Linked DNA regions of Solanum lycopersicum. The main gene of each other region encodes a partner of the protein of the gene in region 2 in a complex. Links are inferred from orthologs where the notes say so. Each region holds a gene or a part of one and is shown on either strand. Other genes may lie near its edges. The genes, in order: calvin cycle protein CP12-1, chloroplastic; phosphoribulokinase, chloroplastic.

Region 1 (6,544 bases), on a different chromosome or scaffold from region 2:
TTTATATAGGAATTAGAAAGTTCTTCTGTTTGCCTTGTTTGATGATTTTCCAATTTGTGTTGATGGTAAAGAGTAGATGGATCTACTCATGCCTATAAAGATATGAACTTTTTTAACTGAGAAAGAGAAAAAAGATTTGAACTTCAGAACCTTACCCCCTTTTATGGGATTAGAATCAAAATGAACTTTATTGAGTAGGTAAATCATCTGATATCAATTGATTTGGTGAGCCTTAATCTAGTGACATTTGTTTTAGGGTTTGCAAAAACAGTAATTTGGTTGAGCTCTTTCAGCAAAAAAAAAAGAACTCTTTATAGAACATCTTCAAACTCAAATTTCCAAATCTTTCAAAAATCCAAAAGGATTTGGAAGTTAGTTTTTAATCTTGTTGAAAGATTCGAAGGATTTTGTGTATGGTCTGTACACAGTACACACTACCCTCCCTAGATCCCACTTGTGGAATTACACTTGTATGTTGTTGATGTGGTTGTTATTTTTGTTGTATTTGAAAATTTAAGTTGAGACATCTTTAATGGTTAGAATTTTGTTGAGTAGCAGAACGTATGTTATTGTGGTTTTGTGGTTGAATTTTGTTTTGGCCTTTTGATCGCGTTTCTGAGATGTTCTCTAATATAGTCTGTTGTGTTTGATTGCAGATCATTTTTGTGAATACTTTCATTTGCTGTTTGGATTTTGGATATTCTACTCAGGAAATTATTTGGTTTCTTTGAAGACTGGTTGGGGTCTCTTACAAAGTTCCAATGTTTGATTCTTAGTTTCAAAATTTCTTCATGTCATTCTCTATTCGCGTGCGACGAGTTCGGATTCTGCATTCTTTCTCAGTAGTCTTTCTTTACTGGTTCTACGTGTTTTCATGAACTAGAGCCCTCATCATTTTCTTGTTCCAGTTTAATTTACAAATTCCATAGCCACACTATCAAAAGTTTGGTGCTTTAACAAATTATACATAGTTCCCTGTTATTCCATTTTTTAAATCATTCATCCAATCTGCCTGAGAGACATGTCTTCGACTCCGCACTTGGTGAGTTCTGGTTCAGATGCAGACCAGAGGTATGCAAAGTTCGACGAAAGGAAAAGGAAGAGAATGGAATCCAACCGTGAGTCGGCCAAGAGGTCACGGATGAAGAAGCAGCAGCGTTTGGAGGAGTTAAGTAGCGAAACAACACAGCTGCAGAACCAGAACAGTATCTGCCGTGATAAGATTGCTTCTGTTGAAATGAACTATCGTTCCATTGATGCAGAGAACAACGTGTTGAGGGCTCAGCTTGCAGAATTGACTGAACGGTTGAATTCACTGAACTCACTCACCCAATTTTGGGCTGATACTACTGGATTTCCTGTGGACATTCCTGAAATTCCCGACACTTTGCTGGAGCCATGGCAACTGCCTTGCCCGATTCAACCTATCACTGCTTCTGATATGTTCCAGTTTTGAGCTCTGCTGGTGTGATGATTTACAAGAATGGAATAGAGATTAAGCGTATTAAGTATCTAGTTTGATATTAGCAATGTAGCTTTTGTTTCTGAATAGTAATGGTTGGTTTTGGCCTATTATCGATATCTGAATATCTAGTTTGTTGTTTTTAGTATTTGTTCGACTTTATTTAGTCTGTGGATGTTATATATGCATCTTTTGGAGTACTATGAATGAGATGGCCCTTCTCATTTCTATGAAAAAATTGCTGTGTGTTGATATTGTGGACTTGTTTATCCTATTTTTTCCATTCTAATTATTTTGATCATTGGATGTCAATGCTTTTATAGGGCAAAGAGTTTGAACTCTTTTTTCTGTCATTTGACTTGCAAGAGTTTAACTAGTGATATGTCTTCCCATCTGTCGTCTTCGTGGATGGTTATTTGATTGATGGGAGATAGCAGGTACTCGTAAAATTAAATACTGTATAAGCTGATTCAGATAACATGATTATTGATCATTGGGTTTTCTTCTTTTTTGTTGTTGTAAAAGATGCTTTATTTATTCATGTAAACTGAAAATTGAAAGTAGCATTACTAGCAGAGAACAATTGTTTAAACTAAAGCTCTCTGGTTATATTTCTGCTCTGATCTAACTTTATCATTTTCAATTCGTTCGTTCAAACTATATCACATAAATTGGAATTCATGGTAACAGTATGTATAATTAAACACCATACCATACATAACATAAGAGAAGATTTAAGTTTTGATAAAACAGATTACCATTTGAAAAGAACACAAGACATGACATGAGTAGCTGCTACTAATCATCATCATAATTAATTATCGTAAGTGCGGCATTCATCAGTTTCTGGATTATCCTTGCAATAATTCTCCAGTACATCTGATTCCTTCTTCTTATCCCTCGCATGGCTCGCTGCTGCACTCGTCTCTTCCACCACATCCCATGCCGCCTTACACTCGCCGCTCACCGGATCCTCCGCACAAGTTTCTTCAGCTTCTTTAACACTTTCCGCAACTAAATCAGATAGCTTCTTATCCGGAACTACTCTGGGTACCACTACATACATCATCCTCCTGTAACCCAATTGACTTGATTTCTTCCATGGGCTGTTTAGGGTTTGCAATTTCAAGGGCTGAATTTTGGGTGAATCGGATGAAATTGTTGGGATTGTTATACTAACACCGGCTATGGACGCCATTTTTATTTGCTCTGTGTTAGGGTGAAGAAGAAGAAGAAGATATTTTTTTATTTTCTTTCTTTTTAGGATGGGTATATATTATCATTGAGATGAAATGAGTAATGAGCACACATTTCTTATCACTTTGTTGGCCAATGGTTAACATCCACGTCGTCAAGATGACGTCCAAAGATATTTTATTGTTAAAAGGAAAAAGAGTTAGATATGTATCTGAACTATTTGAATCTCCAAACTATTTAAAAATGTGTAGATATACCCCTCCGTTTAAAGTTTAGTTCACTCATCTGTCGTTCAACTTTTGGTCTAAATATACTTTTATAGTCGTTAGTTTCATGTTGGACATATCCAACTCATTTTTTATTTCTTTAAATGTCACATTGAATTGTCATGTCATTTTGACCTTACCACATGACATATTCGGACTCATAAACACCTAATCAAACCCAAAAATCAACTCTTTTTAAATTCACTATCCGATCAATTTTTAATAATTTTGTTTAATTTTTATTTTTTCGATAAATTCCGAAAAATGAGGAATTGATTAGTAAAGGATAAAAAAAATATGGAAAAAATATAAAATTAACGCCAGAAATTCACAAATAAATATAATAACCTTAAATTCAATTCAAACATTTTTTAAAAAAAATTATTTTTTTCGATAAATCCCAAATGAGTAATTGATTGATAAAAAATAAAAAATTAACGCCAAAAATAAAAAAATGAAAACAATAACCTTTAATTCAACAATTTCAATATTTTTTAATTTTTTCAGAAAATCCCAAAAATGAGTTCATTAACAAAAAAATATGAAAAAATATAAAAATTACGCAAAAAAATCAGAAATAAAAAATAGAAATATATGAAATAAAAAATTTGTTGAAATTATTGAATTTAAGGTTACTATATTTATTTGTGAATTTTAACGTAAATTTTTTATTTTGTTTTCATATTTTTCCCTTTTTATTAATAAATTACTCATTTCGGGATTTGCCGAAAAATATAAAAAAATTTAAAAAAAATGTATAATAAAATGTTACTATATTTATTTGTAAACTTTTGGCGTTAATTTATATTTTTTTCATATTTTTTATTAATCAATTACTCATTTTCGAGATTTACCGAAAAATAAAAAAATTAAAAAAATATTTAAATGTCAGATTTAAGGTTACTATATTTATTTATGAAATTTTGGCGTCAATTTTATATATTTTTCATATTTTTCCTATTTTTTATTAATCAATTACTCATTTTCGTGATTTATCGAAAAAATAAAAATTAAACAAAATTACTAAAAATGAGTCGGATAGTGAATTTAAAAGGAGTTGATTTATGTGTCGGATTAGGTGTTTATGAGTTCGGATATTTTTCATTTTTATATAAATGTCATGTGGTAAGGTCAAAATGACATGACAATTTCATGTAACATTTAAAGAAATGAAAAAATAAGTTGAATTTGTCCAACATGACAACTAACGCTCATAAGGGCATATTTGAACCAAAAGTTGGACGGAGAGGGCATGAGTGAGTCAAACTTTAAACAAAGGATATGTCTAGACCTTTTCGAATAGTCTAGGGGCATATTTGACCCTTTTTCCTTGTTTAAAATATCTTTACTGTTATAATTCAACGAAAAATTACATGAATTAGTATATTCTAATAAATAATTATCGATTTTAGTGAAATTTTCAATTTATTACCATTTATAACAATACTATGTTAAATATGTAATATATATGAAGAGTGAATTATGTATGCAATATACATGAATTATTAATTATTTTTTGAAATATATTATGTTTGTTTGGTAAAAATGTGTCACATTATATTATAAGTGTATCAAAATTTGTGGTAAATGTATTATCCATCATTAAAACTTGTATTATATGTGAATAATAAATTGTTCTTTGTAATATGTATTAAACTTGTATTATAAATGAATTAAAAGTGATCAATTAAAAAAATATTATTGCTATAAATAATTTTTTTTATTTTAGTATATTTATGTAAGTTTCCCTATATTCAAATGGGAAAAGGGTTTGATATACCCTTCAACTTTGTCATTTAGATCTGATATAACCCTTGTTATGAAAGTGATTCATATATACCTCTACTTATAAACAAATGACTCACATATATCCTTTTCCTCTAACGGACATGAAAAAAACAATAATCTAACTTTTTATTATTTTTTTCTAAAAAATATACCATATGAGTAAATTTAATCCTCGTCAAACATATTTTTTTTATTTTTTTTTGTTTCAATGACTAATTTAGAATTATTATTTTGATAATCAAATTTATTTATGTTTCACTAATATTCTTGTAAAACTTATTATAGATGGGCCAAATTTTTTTCTTCGAATATAAAAATCAAACTACAATATAGACAAGAAAAATAGTTTAATTTTTTTCTCTTTAAACTAAGGAATGAAAGATAAAAATAAGAATAAGAATAAGAAACTCAAATAATTATAATAAAAGAAGTCAAAAAATAATTTATGTATGAAAAAAATTAAAACATACCTTGAACTTGGATAGAAGAATCATATATACCCCTAAACAATTTTTTTTTTAAAAAAAGTAATAAATATAAATTTAAAACTAATTCTTTTAACTTCCGTTAAATGAAGGATATATGTGAGTCATTTTATAACAACATGAGTATATGTGAGCCGTTTGTACAACGGTAAGGCATATATGAACCAATTTCATAACGAGGAGTATATTAACTTTAAATATCAAAGTTGATGGATATATCTGACTCTTTTTCCTATTTAAATTTTATTAAACTTTTTATACAAAATTTTCACCTAAAAAAACAAACATCCAATATTTAAACGTTATATTCGTTAAAATAAATTACATATAATACACTTTGTGCTATTAAACCATACATATCAAATTTTATGAGTGTGTTATTTTCGATTAAATAATTGTAAGTCATGAGCTAAAATTTCAACCTTGCTTGCTAGTATTTTCTTGGAATTGCGTTTCGCCATAGACAGTGAAGCTCGAAAGTTGAGAGCTTTTTTTCTGCTCTCAAATTTAGTCCATTAATGCTTCAAAGAATGAAACTTTGATGGGCAGAGATGTTCATCATCTTCTTAGTCTTGTTAAAAAGTACCAAAACCATCGCAAACCAATTCAGCAAATTCATACTCAGTTAATATTCACCACTGCAGAAAACACCTTCAACTCAACTTCTTCAATACCCATTTTATTAACTCTATGGAACTCTTTAATTCGGCATTACTCTCTTGGTATTTTCCCACAAGAATCTTTTCTTCTGTTCAAACAATTGCGGTTACAGTATCACCCCATTATCTTTTTTGATAGCTTTACATATTCATTCTTGATTAAAGGATCAGCTAATTTAGGAAAGTTTTGTATTGGGAAGCAGATTCATTGTTTGAGTTTGAAGGATGGATTTGAATCTCATGTTTATGTGCAAACTGCATTGGTTAATATGTATGGGGAATGTGGATTGGTTGGTGAAGCCAAGAAGGTGTTTGATGAAATGCCTGTGAGAAATTCTGTGACTTGGAATGCTTTGATCAGTGGTTGTATTAAATGGGGTGATGTTAAGGTTGCTCGGGCGGTGTTTGATGGAATGCCGGAGAAGAATGTTATTTCATGGACGGGTCTTATCGATGGGTATACGAGGATGGGTCGGTTCAATGAGGCTTTGTCTTTGTTTCGGGAAATGGTTGTGGTTGAGGGGATTAAACCGACTGAAGTGACTCTATTGGCGATTTTCCCGGCTATTTGGAATGTTCGCTGTCTAGAGTGTTGCAGAATGATTCATGCTTACGGGGAGAAAAGTGGTATCGATGCTTTTGATATTCGTGTTATGAATTCACTTGTGGATGCTTATGCTAAGTGTG
Region 2 (8,285 bases):
AAGTTTAGGCCTTTGCAGCTGCGACTGGAGCTCCAGCTCTGCTGGCAACGATTTGCTCGTAGAGGTCTCTGATCTTCAAACCGACAATGGTCTGGAAGAAACCTGTTCCATTGTTGCTGCCAGGGAAGTCTGCATGCTTCAACATTTGTTGAGTAACTTCACCATAGAATTTGCTGGAGAGGTTGCTCAAATGGCTCTCCACGTAGATGAGTTCATCTAGTCTGTCAAATTGGCCATCCATCTCCAAGACAGATACCTGCAAGTACGAAGAAAAACAGATGGTGAAAATCAGGCATGATTTTTGGAAGAATAGCTGAGCAATGGTACAAACCCGCTCTCTGAGTTAGCCAGGTATTTTCTAGCATGTTGTCTTTAAAGAACTGTGACATATCATCGAGAGATATCGAGAAGAAGCTTTAACATTCTTTTAGTGTTTATTTACCACTTGTGTTAGCTTGCTTGCTCACATTGTTGGTCCCAAACCCGAACAAAGGATGGTAGGTAAACTGGATTGAAGTTTTTCTGCCTAGTCAATTTAAGATGAATCCTCACATACAAAGCTTAATTTTCTAGCCTGACTAGTAATCAGCAACTAATGTCCTTCCAATTGAGTTCCTCGGGTCGAGTCTAGACAGGTGGACTAGATTACCATCTGATACACCCTATTGATCTAACCTAAGTTCAGCTTATTTCTATGTTTGTATTGCTGAGACACCATAAAGGCCAACCATATGTACCTAGGGAGCTTCAGCTCATTCAAATCAGGATAGAACGAGCACCTACGACTATGGGGAATGGAATGTTGACCACAAGGCGAGAGAGTCGATTGATTAGTATGATCAAGTTTTGGCAGGTAGAGAAAGAATGCAGCCTATACCTCATTGCCAAAGTAGGTGTCAGGGCCATAGGTGAATTTGATGCCAGGGTAAGAACAAGTCAACTTCCTGCCACAAGGAATCCATGAGATTGTCGATCCTTCATCAAACAGGTAAACTGGATTGAAGTTCTTCACTCCTTCCTTCATTATCAATCTCACTCTCAAAACTTTGCCTTCATTGTCATCTGGGATTAGCTGAGTTGGGAGCACTTCAATGACTGCATCTGCATATTGCTTTTGTGGATCTGCACCAAAAAAACAATTTTTTTGCCACTTAACTAATCATATTCATCAATCATGTATGATATTAACTATTTGTGTTGTTCAGACTCTCCAAATATGTTATCGCAATCATGTTAGATCCTTCAAAAGTATGCATTTTTGGAGGATCTGACACACATCGTGCGGTTTTTTAAAATGAAAAGTGGAGCAACAGAGGTAATTGTTATTTCAAGGGTAAGTAGTTCACCAATGTAAGCATCAAAATCTGGTTTCCTAGCTTCAATACTGGCCTTAATGCTCTCAAGGCTGTGTCCTCTTTCAGCCATATCCCTCTGCATTTTTCAAAAAAGAACCGATATCATGCATATTTGGTTCGAGTCATAAGTTCTATGTATTAACAATGTAAAAGATATTTACATAATCAGGTCACTTGTACGCGTCGTTATAGATAAATTTTAGTGATAGTTACCTGGATCTTCCAAGCAAACTTGACCTCATTGCTGATATCCAAGTAGATACTGAAGTCCAAGAGGTCTCTCACACGCTCATCGTACCTTCATACCATAGAAAATGAAAAATAAATATCAGATTTTACTACATTATGATATACTAATATTATTAATACATGCATTAGAATGATTAATAAACGCAATAGTCCCTAAAAGTATACGTCAAAGAATGCACGTACGTGGACATTTCTAAAACTCACTTTTAAAAAAAAAAAAAGCTATACAATATATGTTATTTTTAACACACTAAAATACATTATAATTGATCGGTCCATTACAAATCTCAATATTCGAAACTTCTATCTCATTAGATATTCGTATTTTTTTTTTCTCCCATCTCTATTTTGGCTGTAAATACATTTTATTCATCATTATTCTTATACACGTAACTAAGTGCATCAAGAGTTGCATTATTAATATGGTGCTTAAAGTGCTGCTACTGATTTTTCTATCGAATTTTTGCAGCAGAAATAGATATTACTTTGGAGACCTAAATTCTAATTAAGTTTAAGGAAAATGTCATAAAGTACCATATTTTGGATCAAATTATTAATCGAAGACATTTTTCATTAAATTTATTTCATTTGAGGACATTCTGATTTTGTTTGAATCTTTTAAAAATGTTATTATATTTATATCAAATTCTCTAAAAGAATCATAATTGATAGAGAATCTAAGACACATACTTGTCAATATTCTTATAGATCCCAAGTAACACATGTCAAAAGAAGAGAATCCCCTGCACCATTTTCATTTTTTTCTTTTTTCCCTTTTGTAGGGAAGTAAATTATAAAGTACATTTCGTTACACAAACGACAAGAAAAAAATTAAAGAATCTAAATATACGGAGAAACCAAAGTTTTCTTTTCAATGTGTCACCTCTCTTGCATGTGTCTTGTTTTAACATTAGAAAAACATCATTGCATTTCTTCAAAAATTTATTAATAACATACTCACCGCAAGTAGCAAAGTCAAAAATTTTAATGAGGGTTTCAAAATTTCAGAAGTAAACATATGAACTATTGGGAGGGGGTTCGACTTCTATTATATATCTAGAAAATAATTTTAATCATGTATGAATAGTAATAATTTTTCGCTGAGGGGATTATACATTGCCTCCGCCTAGGGGTGTACAAAATCGAACTGAAAATCGAATCACACTGCAAATCGAGTCAAACCAAAAAAAAAATGACTAGTGATTTGGTTTGACTTGGTTTGGTATTGGAAAAAAAAACACGATTATATTTGGGTTGGTTTGGTTTTGATTAAAAAAAATAATCAGAGACCAAACCAACCCGACATTATATATATAATTTTAAAAATTTTATTTTATACCTAAAAATACTTACTTTGATATATTTTTTTAAATATCAATTATATTTTTTAATAGTTTTATCTTTTAATAAAATTATTTCATGTTTGGAAGTTAGAATTCTTAATAATGTAATAAGATTATAGTCTATACATGTTGGTAATTATAATAAAGTCTAAATAAAAATTAAATTAATACTAATGCAAAAAAAAAAAATCAATTCAACACTAAAAATGACAATAATATTGAATATTTGTTTATTAGTTTTACATAGATTTAGACAATTAAAATACATGATCTAATTTTACTTTCTTTTAATATTTAGTCATGTAACTAATACTTACTAAACTTATGTTAGCATGATTTAGTACTTTAAATTATAATCAATTTCATTATGACTTATTAATTTGCAATATTTGTTTTACGCGATTTTATTATTATTTTTTTTATATTTTAGTGTCATTAATTATATCATATTTTTTGTTATTTTCTTGAGAAATAACTTAGATAGTTGCATTTTGATAGGATTAAATAAATATTTGAAATACAAGTAAATTATATGTTTTTACGAATTCATTATCGAAAAAACTCAAAATCTCGAAAAAAAAACCCGAAGTTGAAAATTTTGAATTTTATTGATTTGATTTGGTTTATAAATTTAAAAACCCGACACAAATAATTTGATTTGATATTTGAAAAATCCAAACCAACCCGATCATGTATACTCCTACCTCCGCCTATTACTCACAGTTATATAATTTTTTTTATATAATAAGTGGAAGAATAACCCATAAAATAAGTTCAGTAATCTTTTTTTATTCATTCCATATAACACATTTCCATTTTTAGTCTACTTTTAAATAAAATAAAACTTATATTATATCAAAAAAAAAAATTAGCTTTAAAACTTCATTTTATCCCCTACCAAGATATGATTTCACAACCACACAAATGTACCCCACATATTTTAGATAAGAAATTTCAAAAAAAAAATCTATATTTTTGTTTTTCTTAAAACTCATTCTAACAAAATTCAATAACTTTTCACTCAAATTCTATAATGATATTTTAAAAATCCACATATATAAAAAAAAAATAAAAAAAATCTATACATTTCAAAATTCAACATAAATTAAGAGTAAAAGTTATGAGATACTGTCGGTGCATATAAGTTAAAACGGGACTTACATGGGGTGTAATCCTTCAATGACAAGAATCTTTGGAGGCTTAATAACCTCAGGAGGATCAAGAAGACCACTAACATGATTATAAATAGGTTTATCAACAGGAACCCCATCTTTAATAGCTTTAACTTGTTCATACATTAGATCAAAATCATTAGCTCTTGGATCAAGAGCAGTTACCCCTTTTTCTTTTCTACCAGTTCTGTCAAGTGAATGATAATCATCAAGACAAATGACAGTAGTCATGTCTGATATCAATGTGTTTGAATCTGGATTTCCACCTTTCGGTGGTTCAGCAGCGCCACCAAAGACGCTGGTTAATCGTCTCATAAATGTACTTTTACCACAACCAGAATCAGCTGCTAGACCGATTACAACTGTTTTTTCACCGTCAGAGGAAGCAGAGCATGTCATCTTCCTTGGTCTTTTTGTTAGGAAAATTACTTGTTTCTGGTGAAATCTTAAGTGGGGTTTTGATGGAGTTGAAATTGAACAAGATGAATTCAGTGATTGAGCAGTGTACACTGTACAAACTGCCATTTTTTTTATTTTTGCCCCTCTATCTCTCTGTTTCTTGAGAGGTTTTTGAGATAGAATTATGGAGGAAGCTTTTTTATTTTTTATTTTTGTGTGCTCACTGACTTACTGATAGATTAATGAATGGGCATTTTTTTTAAAAAAAAATTAAATTTTTTTTTTGGTTTTTAGGATATTTTGGAGAAAAAAAATATGTGAGGCTTAGAATTTTTTTGTAAGAAGTTAATGGCTATGGTTATGGCTGTTTTGTTTGGATAGTGAAGTGTGTTGATTTGGATTTCTGTGACTACCATTGGAGGTAGTATTAATCCGCTTTTTTATAATTGATCGGATCTTTTAAAAATAATATATTAATTTTGAAAAATCTAATACACATCTATAAGTATATTCAAAGAGTCAGAGCAATGGAGTTTTACGCAAATATAGCAAGTAGGATTCGTTAGTTTACTTTCAGTGAATCACATCGTGATGCAGTGACGAAGCAAAAATTTTAATAATGGGATTGTAAAATTTGAAAAGGTAAACATACAAACTAATCGAAGGAGGTTCACATTTACTATATACACATAAAAGTTAATTTTAACCATGCATAAATTGTAGTATATTTATACATGTTGTTGTATTTGTGTTGAATCTCTTTAAAGTAGTATATTAATTTTTGAGAATTTAACACATACCTGTCAACATTTTTGAAAAATCGAGTTAGGAAATTTTTAGTTGGTATACGCTGATATACATGAATTATACGTTAGACAGCAGGTTTTATGATTCATTATTTTACTTCTTTTTTTTCTAGCTGGTATACACTGATATACATGAATTATACGTCTAACGACTGCTTTTAGTTTAAGTGTTTGTGCGCGGTGGACGACTATTTAGGTTTAACTATTTTAGATAATTATTTTAAGGCTAAGAATAAAGAGGACATGGTTTGTGATTTTAAATTTTTGTTTAGGGGTATAATGGTCATTTTACTTTGTACTACCCCCCACTACCCCACACTCCACATACACTATTGAATAAGAAAATTTATTATTTTTCTTGAATTTATTTATTTATTATTCTGTTAGTAAGGATTGAAGATGATGTTTGTGATAGATAAAGGGATGGAGAAAAGGTTTGGTGGTGATTTATTTCAGTTTGGATATTTCATAGGACACGTGGCAGAAGGATGATGGCATAAAAGAAGATAGAGAATGTGTAATCCATAATTCAAACAATTTTGGATACTACTTTTTGCTTTGGAATGTTGTTCGGGTCGATGAATAAGTTATTTCGAGATTTTTAAATTTTAGGTATTTTGGTTGAGGATTACAAAGTTTGATATAAGGCTTAACTTAGCTCCTAATAAGTATTCATAGCTTTACTTAATTGGAAATTACTTGGCAATACTATAAATCTAGTTAATCGCGACGTCAAATAAGAAAAAATTTAGCCTAAAATTAATTTAATATAATGTGCTATATTTTTCCAAATCAAATTATGTGCACTCCAATTTGCAACTATTATTACTCTCAATTTAGTATGAGTTCATTCTCAGTTCAAATTTAATTAATTAAAACACTATTATTTGTATATTAGAAAACATTAAATACAACAAATAAAACTTTAAGTATGATATAAAGTAATTCAAACTAACTAAACTTTTGTTAATTGATTTAAGTATGCTGCAGCATTAATTAAAGAACCATCCTTTAATTTTGACGTTCTTTTTTAGTGTGATAAAAAATACAAGAAATTTTACTACTAAAAAAGAAAGAGAAAATAGTTCATGAAATAAGAAAATAAAAGGGGGAAAAGGAATTTTCTATTTCCAAGAATTAATTACGTATTTATTTTTAAATTCATTATATTCATCATTCCAAATTTAGATGATCTTAGTTACGTCCTAGTTTAGCAAGTTTCGTATTTGGTTAAGATTAAGGATTCCAAACATATCTGGTGTACAAAGCATCCCGTGTTAACAGAGATTCAGAAAAGAATCGTACTTTAAAGAATGTGATGTAGACAGTCTATCCTAATAAATGAACAAAAATATTTGAACTTCCGTTCCCTTTAATTTATTTGCTTAGATCATTTTGCTACTATGATTCGTGAATTATTTATATCTATTTTAAGAAGTGTTGGATTTGTTTCTTTTGTGGGATAAGTTTCTAACCTTAAATTAGTTATTTACTCTACTAATTTCTCAAGTATTTTCTTGCTTTAATCCATAGAATTAAATGGAAAATTGGAGTATTAGTTAGGGGTAGGATTCTTAGAGTGAGAATTTATGGTCGAATAACAACAATTTGTTTTAGCTGAAATCAACGTGTAGAATTGTTAAGCTATGGGTTAATAATATAATTTAAAAGAAAATTCTAGATTCAGCTCTTGTGCGAACCAAATCTAGTCCGATACAGCTACTCCAATATACATTTATTCAGCAAACTATATGCCTGAAGCTTCTGGTTGCAGTAGTATTCAGGAGAGCCCAATCAATAGTTTTCATATATTACACAATGTAATACTTGCTTGGAGTGTAGCAAAAAAATAATAAGAGTGTAGTTAGTCTCTTTCTTTATATATGTTAACTAGGTTTTATTTTTTTGTAGTTATTCTCTTGTTATGTTTCTGCAAGTCTCAATTGGACATGACTATTAGTGGACACCATCACTCAAAAACGAATCCCAGTGAAGGCACTATAGTAATGTAGTAGTCTAATGATCAAAGGTCAAACTGTGATTACATACAAAAATGACAATGAAACGAATATGTTTTGAAACCTAGAAAACATGCAACTATATCACGCAAGTCATTACTCTGGAAAAGAATTGTTTTGTTGCTACGTCCAAACAGGTGCATCACTTGTGCCCTCGGAAATACATGTACACTTTCTGCAATGATATAAACGTTACAAGATGAAAGTAAATTTTTAGTAGTATACAACAGTTTGTTATCAGGCATAGAAAAAGTATAATTACCTAACACAACTAAATTCAACCTTAGGTTCTGAATAGCCCTACCTAAATGATACTCTCTCCCCCCCACAAAGCGACTCTTCGGTTAGTACATTTACTGTTCAAAAGATGTACATGCTCCAAAACAAAAACTACTTGGATGTCCATATCTGGGTGAAAACCTAGCAAATTGTCTACCTTCTTTCTGTGATAAAAGGAAAACCTGGCAAATCATCAAAAAGGACTAGAGATGCATTTTTCTTGATATTTAAGAGAAACCAGACGATACCCCTCTCCTCCACCCTCCTCGAAAAAGACTACCCCCCTCACACAGCAAGCAAGAGCTTAAATATGAATTGATGTACGATTTCTTTTTTCCCCTTGATAGATTTCAGTTTCAGGCCACATACACATGAAGCTCAAGCCGCAAGGCAAAGATGAGCAAAACTCTAAAAAGAGGAACAGCAGATACCAGAACACTAGGTGGAGCATTGCCCCAGCTGATCTTCATACAATTGATTTATTAATGAACCTGACATGAAGAATCGCAATACAGTAAAAACCTCACCTGCAGCACCCACAAGCTAAGCAAAACTTCCAAGCAGAAGAAACCAAATCCAATCAAATAAAATATCTGCAAAAAAAGAAGAAAAGGACAACACAAGAATATATATTAAGAAGGTAAAAGATCAAACATCCTGATAA

What was found.
Region 1: the proteins of phosphoribulokinase, chloroplastic (region 2) and calvin cycle protein CP12-1, chloroplastic are in contact, whole or in part, in a crystal structure (PDB 6KEZ), measured with the Arabidopsis thaliana proteins. The link is inferred for Solanum lycopersicum from reciprocal best matches to the Arabidopsis thaliana genes PRK and CP12-2. Residues at the interface, in NP_174486.1 of Arabidopsis thaliana: Ser59, Lys63, Arg109, Arg112, Lys113, Gln115, Lys116, Thr118, Ala119, Tyr148, His150, Val151, Lys201, Arg204, Asp205, Ala207, Glu208, Arg209, Gly210, His211, Ser215, Ala218, Ser219, Ala222, Arg223; in NP_191800.1 of Arabidopsis thaliana: Asp62, Val64, Glu65, Ile68, Gly82, Val85, Ala86, Trp88, Asp89, Glu90, Val91, Glu92, Glu93, Leu94, Ser95, Ala96, Ala97, Ala98, Ser99, His100, Arg102, Asp103.

Annotation. Positions count from the first base shown.
Region 1 is NC_090805.1:3,600,756-3,607,299, reverse strand, and holds calvin cycle protein CP12-1, chloroplastic, read right to left. Parts: upstream 2,731-6,544; 5' UTR 2,661-2,730; coding exon 2,277-2,660; 3' UTR 2,110-2,276; downstream 1-2,109. Other genes in the region: bZIP transcription factor 53, read left to right, coding at 1,022-1,456; pentatricopeptide repeat-containing protein At1g09220, mitochondrial, read left to right, coding at 5,740-6,544. UniProt on the Arabidopsis thaliana protein: Acts as a linker essential in the assembly of a core complex of PRK/GAPDH. Coordinates the reversible inactivation of chloroplast enzymes GAPDH and PRK during darkness in photosynthetic tissues.
Region 2 is NC_090807.1:62,388,521-62,396,805, reverse strand, and holds the start of phosphoribulokinase, chloroplastic, read right to left. Parts: upstream 4,994-8,285; 5' UTR 4,645-4,993; coding exon 4,109-4,644; intron 1,654-4,108; coding exon 1,569-1,653; intron 1,432-1,568; coding exon 1,347-1,431; intron 1,123-1,346; coding exon 878-1,122; intron 257-877; coding exon 5-256; 3' UTR 1-4. Other genes in the region: secretory carrier-associated membrane protein 4, read right to left, coding at 7,485-7,517, 8,149-8,214.